Linked DNA regions of Arabidopsis thaliana. The protein of the gene in region 2 interacts with the protein of the main gene of each other region in a biochemical or structural test. Each region holds a gene or a part of one and is shown on either strand. Other genes may lie near its edges.

The links.
Region 1: the proteins of AT4G37230 (region 2) and DEG1 form a complex in vitro, tested with the Arabidopsis thaliana proteins (one study listed by BioGRID).

The regions. Positions count from the first base shown.
Region 1 is NC_003074.8:10,365,010-10,370,920, forward strand, and holds DEG1 (DegP protease 1), read right to left. Parts: upstream 3,936-5,911; 5' UTR 3,856-3,935; coding exon 3,434-3,855; intron 3,345-3,433; coding exon 3,222-3,344; intron 3,064-3,221; coding exon 2,892-3,063; intron 2,771-2,891; coding exon 2,733-2,770; intron 2,506-2,732; coding exon 2,307-2,505; intron 2,189-2,306; coding exon 2,036-2,188; intron 1,933-2,035; coding exon 1,798-1,932; intron 1,728-1,797; coding exon 1,650-1,727; 3' UTR 1,600-1,649; exon of another isoform or gene 1,340-1,599; intron 660-1,339; 3' UTR 643-659; downstream 1-642. Other genes in the region: AT3G27930 (beta-galactosidase), read right to left, coding at 4,584-4,752, 4,842-4,914, 5,006-5,087, 5,179-5,269, 5,364-5,440, 5,557-5,598, 5,790-5,911. UniProt on the Arabidopsis thaliana protein: Serine protease that is required at high temperature. May be involved in the degradation of damaged proteins. In vivo, can degrade beta-casein.
Region 2 is NC_003075.7:17,514,592-17,518,133, reverse strand, and holds AT4G37230 (Photosystem II manganese-stabilising protein (PsbO) family), read right to left. Parts: upstream 1,711-3,542; coding exon 1,506-1,710; exon of another isoform or gene 1,492-1,505; intron 1,408-1,491; exon of another isoform or gene 1,230-1,407; intron 774-1,229; coding exon 547-773; downstream 1-546. Other genes in the region: AT4G37235 (Uncharacterized protein family (UPF0497)), read right to left, coding at 1-82; AT4G37220 (Cold acclimation protein WCOR413 family), read right to left, coding at 2,165-2,418, 2,504-2,574, 2,656-2,763, 2,853-3,028.

The DNA.
Region 1 (5,911 bases), on a different chromosome or scaffold from region 2:
TAGTATTAAGTTGTTAATATTGGGGCTACATAAAGCCAAACAAACATATATGATTGGCATAGTCAAGTTCTCAACAAGCTATCCTCTAACGAAGCATTTGGGTAACGACATGTCGTCGTATATATATCTAGATACACGTACATATTAAATTAGAAATTTACTCCAAAAGCAGAGGATTCTCGTAATCATTACCAAGTCGGCTCGAAAGTAGTTTATATACATTACTATGAATACATTTCCAAATGAAGATGCCCGTGATTTATGACCCCACAAATTCAAAGACAAAGACAAAAAAAATATATACCCTATTAAACCGGTTTGGTTTAGATACAGTCCCAACCATAGAAGATACAATCTTACTACATATACTTTACGTTGCAAATTTATAAATACCAACCCATGTCAGTGTCTTGTTGGTGTTGCTTAAAAAGAATGACACAAATATTAAATTCCACGTAGGGACCTTCGCTGATCATTACATATTCGGTTCGTTTTCACTTATCACGTGGGTAATATTTGATGTTATGAAAGTGTTCAAAAACTACGTAAATTATAGTTTTTGCACCCAAAAAATAAAATACAAATGGTTGAGTTTGTATACAGGGAAACATGCAGACATAACCTCAAACTTTTTTTTTTTTTGCAAAGCTACCTTTCACCTGCAACACAACCATCCAAGTCATAACTTAGCTCGAGTAAATGATCTCTCAACGAGAGCATGCGTTCACAACTTAATAAAAAAACTCAATAATTTATCAAAACTACAGTACGTTGTTTTAAATATTTTAAAAAACTAACATAATGTGAAATAGGGACCGTAAAATGACTTAACAATTGAACAAATAACCTAAACCGTGTAAGACTATATTATAAAGATTCGAACACATGACATGAACTCAAGACATAACCATATAATACACGTACATCTTTTGATAAATCATGAAGAATAATATCAAAAAGAAATTCTTGGTAATGAGTCGAAAATCAAACCATTAAATTTTCAAACTCGAATGTTTGTAGATGTAAAATTTTAGGAAGTTTCATGTATAAAAAGTAACCATGTTCGGAACTGAATAAAAGCTATAAAAGGACTTTGTTAACTTCGGAATCCGTAAGTTCAGAATTGTCTCGACTAAAATAAAGGTCCAAAATCAGTACTAATGTACTATGTAATATGTATCATTGCTAAGCCGCACAATCATGAAATTTTATTTTGGTACTACAAAGCCGCAAAATCAGTACTATGCATCATTGCAAAATCAGTACTATGCATCCGAGAGAGTGTTGAAAAAAAAATTTGGTACTACAAAGCCGCAAAATCAGTACTATGCATCATTGCTAAGATGAGGTAACTGTCCATTAAGCCGACGAAATTCGGTTTTCATTTTTCTCATTTTGATTTTTTCTAGGTGTCAGACTCGTCACTCCCAATGTCTGAACCGAAATTAAAAACCAATCCAAACCATAAGACCGTTTGAAGACATTGCAATTTTGGTTATTTCCGGTTACCTTTCGCATGTATGCAAATATAAACAGATTTTATGTACACAATTGGACGATCTATTTTCCGAACAATTGATATACAAAAATATAACCCACCGGACTTTTTTTCTACACGTTATGTATATTTACTTCTTTCAACGACGTTTCTAAGACTCGTCCGGCTTTGGTTCGAGAGTTACAGAGATTTTCTCCTTGTGATCGCCTCTTAGAACCTCTACGGTCACCTAATCAACATCATCAGTGTCAAAACTATCTCGGATGCAGAAACTAATTGACAAAAACTGCGGAGTTTACCTCATCGCCGACTTTGCATTGATCGAGAATCCGGTACAGATCACTCCCGTTAGAGACTTTTGTACCGTTCACCGACGTGATTATGTCTCCTAGTACTAGTCTCCCGTAACCATCACGTTTTGTTGACTGAAGTCCCTGTGGAACAAAACCAATTTTACACATTTCAATATTAAAACCGCGGAGTGAAACATAGAGAAAATATCTGTTATATGGAAACTTGGAAACAGGAAGAGCTTACGGCTTTGCCGGCTGGACCACTTGGAGGAGCATCCAAGACGAGCACACCGCTCACTCCCAATTGCTCAACAGATTGGTCCGGTGCGAATTTGATACCTAAGATTGGTCTGGTGACTTTACCAAATCTCACCAGCTGATCAACGATACCACCAACCTGAACATGAGAGAAACAGAGCTCGAAACAACTTTAGTCTCCCGTTAGTGGATTCAATGATAGAGAAAGACTCTATCTGATCAGATTTGCAATGGGTAAAAAAGAAGAGAGAACTCACTGTATCAACTGGGATCGAAAAGCCCACTCCAGAAGATGCACCAGAAGGAGAATAAATGGCTGTGTTTATACCAATTAACGTTCCTGAGCTATCTAGAAGAGGTCCTCCGCTGTTACCAGGGTTAATGGCTGCATCTGTCTGTATCACATCTTGAATTGGACGACCAGTTGCAGCAGAACTAATTTCTCTTCGCAAACCACTGTACAAATCATAATGCACAAACATGCTACAGTTTTAATAAGAGAAAAGGAATAGTATAGCCATTTGGCATGAAGAGGGGCAAGAGAAAATATATGTATCCAGTATCCTCAAGTACCAATCATCTTTTTTGACACTTTCATTTGTGAGTTCGTTATGAGAAGAACACATCTGATTAGAGTAGAATGCAACTTAAAAAAAAGAGAAGACAAATATAATTTAACATACCTTATAACACCAGTTGTGAGAGTATGATCAAGTCCAAACTGCACAAAAAAGTTCTTGCTTTAGTGCGTATGAACAAGAAACATAAGTATTGACCTAGCTAGCAATAGAAAACACAAAGCAGAGCTTTAATCTATGATCACTTTAAGGATGTATACTCACTGGATTGCCAATGGCAAAGACTTTCTGGCCAACAAGCAGATCAGCAGAGACTCCAACAGGTATAGGTCTTAATTTGTTTTTCGGTGCATCAATACGTAATACTGCAACATCCTTATCTTGGTCAAATCCAACAACTTTTGCATCAAATGTTGTTTGATCAGCAAGAGTGACCCTGTTATATACATCATCCAACTTCCTTATCATACACAAACATCAAAAGAAACCATCCAAAGAAACAATGTACTCATTATAAAACTAAGAATACAACAATTACTAATTCCAATTTCTATCAAAAATCAATCAGATTCTCAAAGTTTCAACATAACTAACCTGAGATCAGAAGCACCACGAATAACATGGTAATTGGTAACAATATGACCTTGCTTATCCCACACAAATCCTGAACCAGAGCCTTGAGGTACCTCAAGAACGTCCAATGTAAACGCGTCCTGCCTAATTCAAACAACATTAGACCAATCCTCAAATCACGGAGAGAAGAAATTCAAAACGAAATTCACCAGAGAGAAATCAAATTCAGATACCTCACGGCGAGATTAGTGATGTAAACAACGGAAGGAGTGTTCTCTTGAAACAAACGAACCGTCGCGAGCTCATCAGTTTGAAGTTTCTTCGGAGTACTAACTACAAACGCCGAGGCAGATTCAACGGCGGGAGAAGCGGCGAAGAGTGAAAACGATAACGCGACGGAGGTACAGAGGAGGAAGAAAGGTTTAACGGCGGAGAACGGAGTAAAATGAAGAGTATCATCATCGTCGTCTCTGTTGTTGTCGTTTAGTGAAAGCTTCGAGAGGATTCGGAAATAGCGTTTGGATCGGATTGGGTAAAGAGAAATTGGAGAGGATCGTGAAGAAGAGAGATTGAAGAAGGAGAGGTGAGAAGAAGGAGGAGAGTGAAGGAAGAGAGTGGAAGAAAGGAGAAGCGAACAACTCGTCGTCGTCGCCATTTAGTTTCTTCTTCTTCTTCTGGTCATGGGACAATGGGATTGTGGTCTCTGTTTTATTTCATTTTTTTTTGTAATTAAAAATATTAATTTTTGAAAATAATGGTTTTTCTATGCGAAGCTATGGTTTTGTATACGTAACCGAATCGAACCGAAATTGAATTGAAATTTGTTTAGTAAACCACTATTTTATGATCTTATGAATCTGGAATAAACAAAACCGGGTCTTTTTTTTGTTACCGAATCAAATTGAATCGAAAACTTTTTGTACTTTGAAAATAAATTTAAACAGTAACCTTTATTATGGTAAATATTATAAAGAATGTTGTTACTTATATCCATAACCCGTAGTACACCAATAATCGATTTTTTAAAATTTTTAAATTTAAGTTGTATTTCTTTATATTATTTGTTTTGTTTTTGTTTGATATTTGTTCACCCGTAATATATCATCCCATATAAATATCGTTCCAAACCGAATGAAAAGTCCAAAAACAAATCAGGATTTCGCTTCATTTAAGAACTTCGAAAAATCAAAAGCCCAAAAAGACCAAACTTAAGAGTTTAAACCAGATAATCCACTCCTAATTTTGAACACTAAACACTTGTACTCCATAAGAGTAAAAATGGTTATTCCTAAGTAATTCTTCTTTCGTCGAACTTATTAAATACTTGACTTGGTTGATATCTAAATCTACTAGATAAAAGTGCAAAAAGATTAATGGTGTAGTTTAGAGAATCTTCTGGGACGGTCTAAGTTCTTTTGGCAGCTCACTAAAATTCTCTGCGTCCACATCGGCTTGATACATTGGTCTCTTCCCCATTTTCCACACAATCCCTTCAGCTAAATGTTCTTTGTTCGGTGTCAGCATTACAAAGTTTGGATCAGCTCTTTGGTAACTGCAATTTCACAAAATAAAACAATGTGAAGAAGATCATGAAGCTAAAGAGGGTTGATTTAATTTTAAACTTGTCACAAATGGACTGACCTGGCTTCTCTTAAGTTATCAACACGTAGACCGAACCCACATTGGACATTTCCAGTCCTATGATTAGTTGTTGCTGCATAAAAAATGAGTCCAAACATGTTCAAATACCAAGAACCTATGTTCATCTTGATTTCGCTGCATTCAGGTTATTTATCAACGCATACCTGAAATATTGAATGCGAAAGACGGTTTCCACCACGACTTGAATGCTAATGACAATGTTGAGCTATGAGCTCCGACTTTACCCTGCAAAAGTTGAAAATGTTACATACTGAGCAAAATTTGAGATAAATGGTTTCTTTTTGAGTAACTCGATAAGGTAAATATTTTTTTATACCTTCAGCAAAAAGTTCTTGTTGGCCTGCCAAGACGCAGCCACCTGCAATAAAGAATCTGGGGCATTGGGTGGCGTCTTGGAATCATCAACCCTTCAATATTAAGACGAAATATAAAGTTCTGTTTCTGTATAGACAAACAGTAGCTACAATGTTTTTTTTTTTTTTACTTAGAGATGTTCACTACCTCGATTGTAGCTCAAAACCAAAATCAATGTAGTTTGTGATTCCAACTACTTGGTTTTCTTCGAAAGGATTTTGCACCTGTTCCAAGTCCATTAAATCGATTTCATATTGAGCCAAAGATGTGCTAAACTTTATATATGGAAGACTAGTATAAGATGCAGCACAGAAAAAGGACTTGTTTGAAAGAGTTGTACCCGTCTTTGGACCACTACGTGTTGGTAGAACGAAGCAATAAACTGCATTTACAAGAAAGATAACATAATCAGCAAGACTAAAAATGCTACAAAATGGATGATATGCCATTAGATAAATAATGTGGTCGTTTGTCAAGTTCCATGAGATACTGAAAAATTGTTTGGGGTTAAGACTTGTGCATACAGACAGCAAAACAACATGTTTTCATCTACACGGATTTTAAAAGAATCACCTGAGAGCTTCTTGCTAGTTCAATGCCAATGTTAAAAGAAGGAGTCAAGGGGCTTTGTGACCCTACTCCATAGCCAGCAGCACAACTCCAGTTTCTTGGGTCTGTGTACTTTGCCAAATCTT
Region 2 (3,542 bases):
GCGAAGCAGAGGAAAACAGAGTTTGTCCGAGACGAAGAACAAAGCTTGAGCTGGTTCCAAACGACGCCGTTGTTCTTACCATCTCCTTGAACAAGAGCCCTTGTTAACGTCTCTAGTTCTCCTCATTTTCACCTGCTTTGATCTTCCATTACTGGGTTTCGCAAAAGATTTGAACTTTGAGTAGGAGATAAAACAGGGTTAAGAAACAGAGCAAGGGTCCTCTGTTTTTTGAGACAGGGAAGGTGAAAAGACAAAGTGGATGTGACAACAATGGGGTCATAAGGCAAATGGTTTGCTTAATTATAAATCTCTTCTTACTTCTTAACCAGAAATCATCTTTGCTGTTACAAGCAATTATACAGATCTACAAATATGTTATCTTAATCCGCAATAATTAGTCTTTTAATCACAATAATTAGTATCTGATTAAAGCCAAAAGTGCAAAGTGTTACCAAATGGAGTACCACATGTACTATGAACTGGAATCAATATTCCTTAATCATAACAACATTTACAGAAAAAGAAAACAAACAGATTCTCTATGTTTTATTCATCAAGTTGGCAATACCAGATTCCTTGAATCTTGACATCCTTAGGAGTCGTAGCACCCAAATCAGTGTCTGAAGGTTGAATACTCTCGAAAGCACCAATCACTTCACCGCTCTCGGGATTACTCTTTGTTACACTAAGTGTGATCTTGTTGTTCTCCTTAGCTAGCTCCTCATTGTTTCCTCTAGCAGGTAATGCAACCGCATTGTCATAGCCTTGATATTCTATAGAGGTACCTTGTAATACTCCTCGGATTTGAGCAGATGGGCTTTTGGAGGTTGGAATCAAAGGAAGCATCGGATTTGAGGGGGTTTACGAACATTCTCTTGGCTATTTCGAGTTGATTTCTCTTCCAAGTTGTGTCGTCTCCATTTTTGTGGCCGAGCTTTTTGTTTTCACAGCGATGGGTTTACATTGGTTTCGAAATTCAAATTGATCTCGGTTCGGTTTAATTTGGTTTAGAGAAGAAAACCAAAACAAATAAGACACGCGATGGGTTTTTAAGAACGAGGTGCGTGGATTCAAAAAGGCATAAATTTTGTGGATTAATAACCCCTTTAGAAATCGTAGACACGCGCTCAACGCGACATGGGTGAGAGTGGCTGTGAAATCGCACGATTGGTAAAAGTGGGGTATGAAGTGGAGCTCTCTCATTGGCTAAAAAACTAAAAATAGTAGGGAAGCTCCTCCTCTCATATATTGAAAACAATAATAAACAGTGTATCTCTGTGAGTGTAGAAGCACGAATATCATCAGAGAGGAGAGAGGAGCAATCAATCCACTCTCGTCTTCTCCTTTGTTAGCTTCGGAATCTTCTTCTTCTTCTTCAATACAGCTTCGACACTAGAAATTCAAAAGGTCGTTATGAATTTACCTTAGATTTTCTGCGTTTTCAGAGTGAATTTTATTGATTTCTGAATTTTTATTGATAATAATCTGCAGATGTTGTGTTTTACGATCAGATTTATTTCCAACGTGGCCTTGGGTGAATGCTGAAGGGATCGACTTGGGACCAAAGTATCCTCTGCGATGCCACGAGCTGCTTGATCGTGAACAAGAACGGTACACGCTCCCCACCAGGAAGTTGTGTACTGTCACTGCTGCGTAATCAACTTCGAAAGGGCCTTCGATTTCATCGAGTGTGTAGGTAAGGCTAGTCATGAGCTTTGTGCTTTGGAAATCTGGTGTGGTGCTACTAACTACTTGAGCTTTGACGGTGAATGATTACAAGAATATACACTTTTGGATACGAACAACGGCACGTAGTTCAATGCTAGGAGGTGATAGAAATTTGTGTTGCTTTATTGTTTGGTGTTAATGAAATGAAAAACAATTTTCAAAAAACAACTATTAGTCATGATCAATTAAAAAGTCTACAATATTCAAGATTGATTCAACAAATCAACCAATATGCAAATTTATTTATATATCTTACAAGTCACACATTTACAAGAAAAAAAAAACAATCTTACAAGTCAGCAGTGCACGATTGAAACTTCTTTTTTATATTCAAGACTTTCTCAAACACAAATGCTCCTTATAAAATTCAAACCTTGAAAACGAATTGAAGACACAAAATGTTGAATGTGTCTACAAACCAATGGGTCGGATTGACTTAAAAGATGTGAAAGAAGATGGTCCAAACCGGGTAAACGAGGAGGGCAACGATCCCAATGGTATTGGAGATTCCATTCTTTTGAGTAAAAGAGTTTTTGAATCCACCTGAAGCTTTAATGTGTTCATGGAAAAGGTAACATGCTATTACTAGACATATGACTGCTCCAACCCAGCTTTCTCTTAGTGTCCAAGCTATAAGGCTCGGCGACACCACCACAATAAGAATCAATGCTACCGGAATCTCTAGCCACTCTACATTTATATGCAAAAAAGAAAGAAGATTTTCAAGATCAAAGTTTCAAACTAATGTTAAGTCATGAAAACTGCTGGTTCTGACCTGGAAATTCTTTAGGGAAGAAAAGCCTGACTATGATCGCGATGAGAGCAATCCATTTCCCAAAGTCTCCGCTGTGAAATTATATCGAATATGGATTATATTTTCAAAAGAACTCCATAACATCATGTTAAAGAACAGTTTTTCTTGATTACCTAAAGAACTGGAAGATAACCGAAGGAAGTGTGAAAAAGATGTATGGTACTAAAAGGGTGGTCAACATTTTGGTTTTCCAGTTGGTACGATCCAATATCAACAGATAACTGTCAAAGCAAAACAATAAGAACCATCATATCAATATATGATTCAAACAAAAACCAGAGAGGTTATATGGTTTTGTCTTTTGGCTCACATAGCGAAGATTGAAGCGGCCCATTGGAGGACTGACGTGCCAAAACCTACCCCGCCGAGCATCCCTACGTCTTTCACGAGCTTCTTTGCAGCGGCGACGAACTCATTCATATCGGAATTGATCAGGTTAGCCGCGTTCTCCTCAGTCTTCATGGCCAAAAACTCACCCCTTCCCATTTTTAAGTTTTAGTTTGTTTGTGAATGTAGTAAACTCTCTCACATAGCAGAGTATTTATAACCAATCACAAAACACCTTGGCTGTTTGTGACAACTGTTGAATCAGAACGAAAGAAAAAAAAATACTGTTGTGAATTTGGATATTCTAGGAGCTGCTCGCCACGTAGGCTTCGCTGGTGACAGAGATAGATTTGACACGTGGCTTCCCCAAGGGTCTCGTTTTCATAGACAGAGCTTATCTATGATATCTCCAGAATCCAGATATAGCGTAATCTTATTATACTAATCATATTATAAGATTCCAGTTTTTAATTCTACAAGTAGCCTACATTTTTTAATAAAGGATATCCAATTATCCCTTAATTATTACTTATAAAATTCCCTAAAAGATCTCCAAAGAACTATTTCTCATCAGATGATTATCAACTGATAATGTGATAATAAGATTCTGCTTTTGTGCCTAAACTAAAAAACACTTTGAAAAAATAAGACTGATTAAACAAGAATAAAAAGT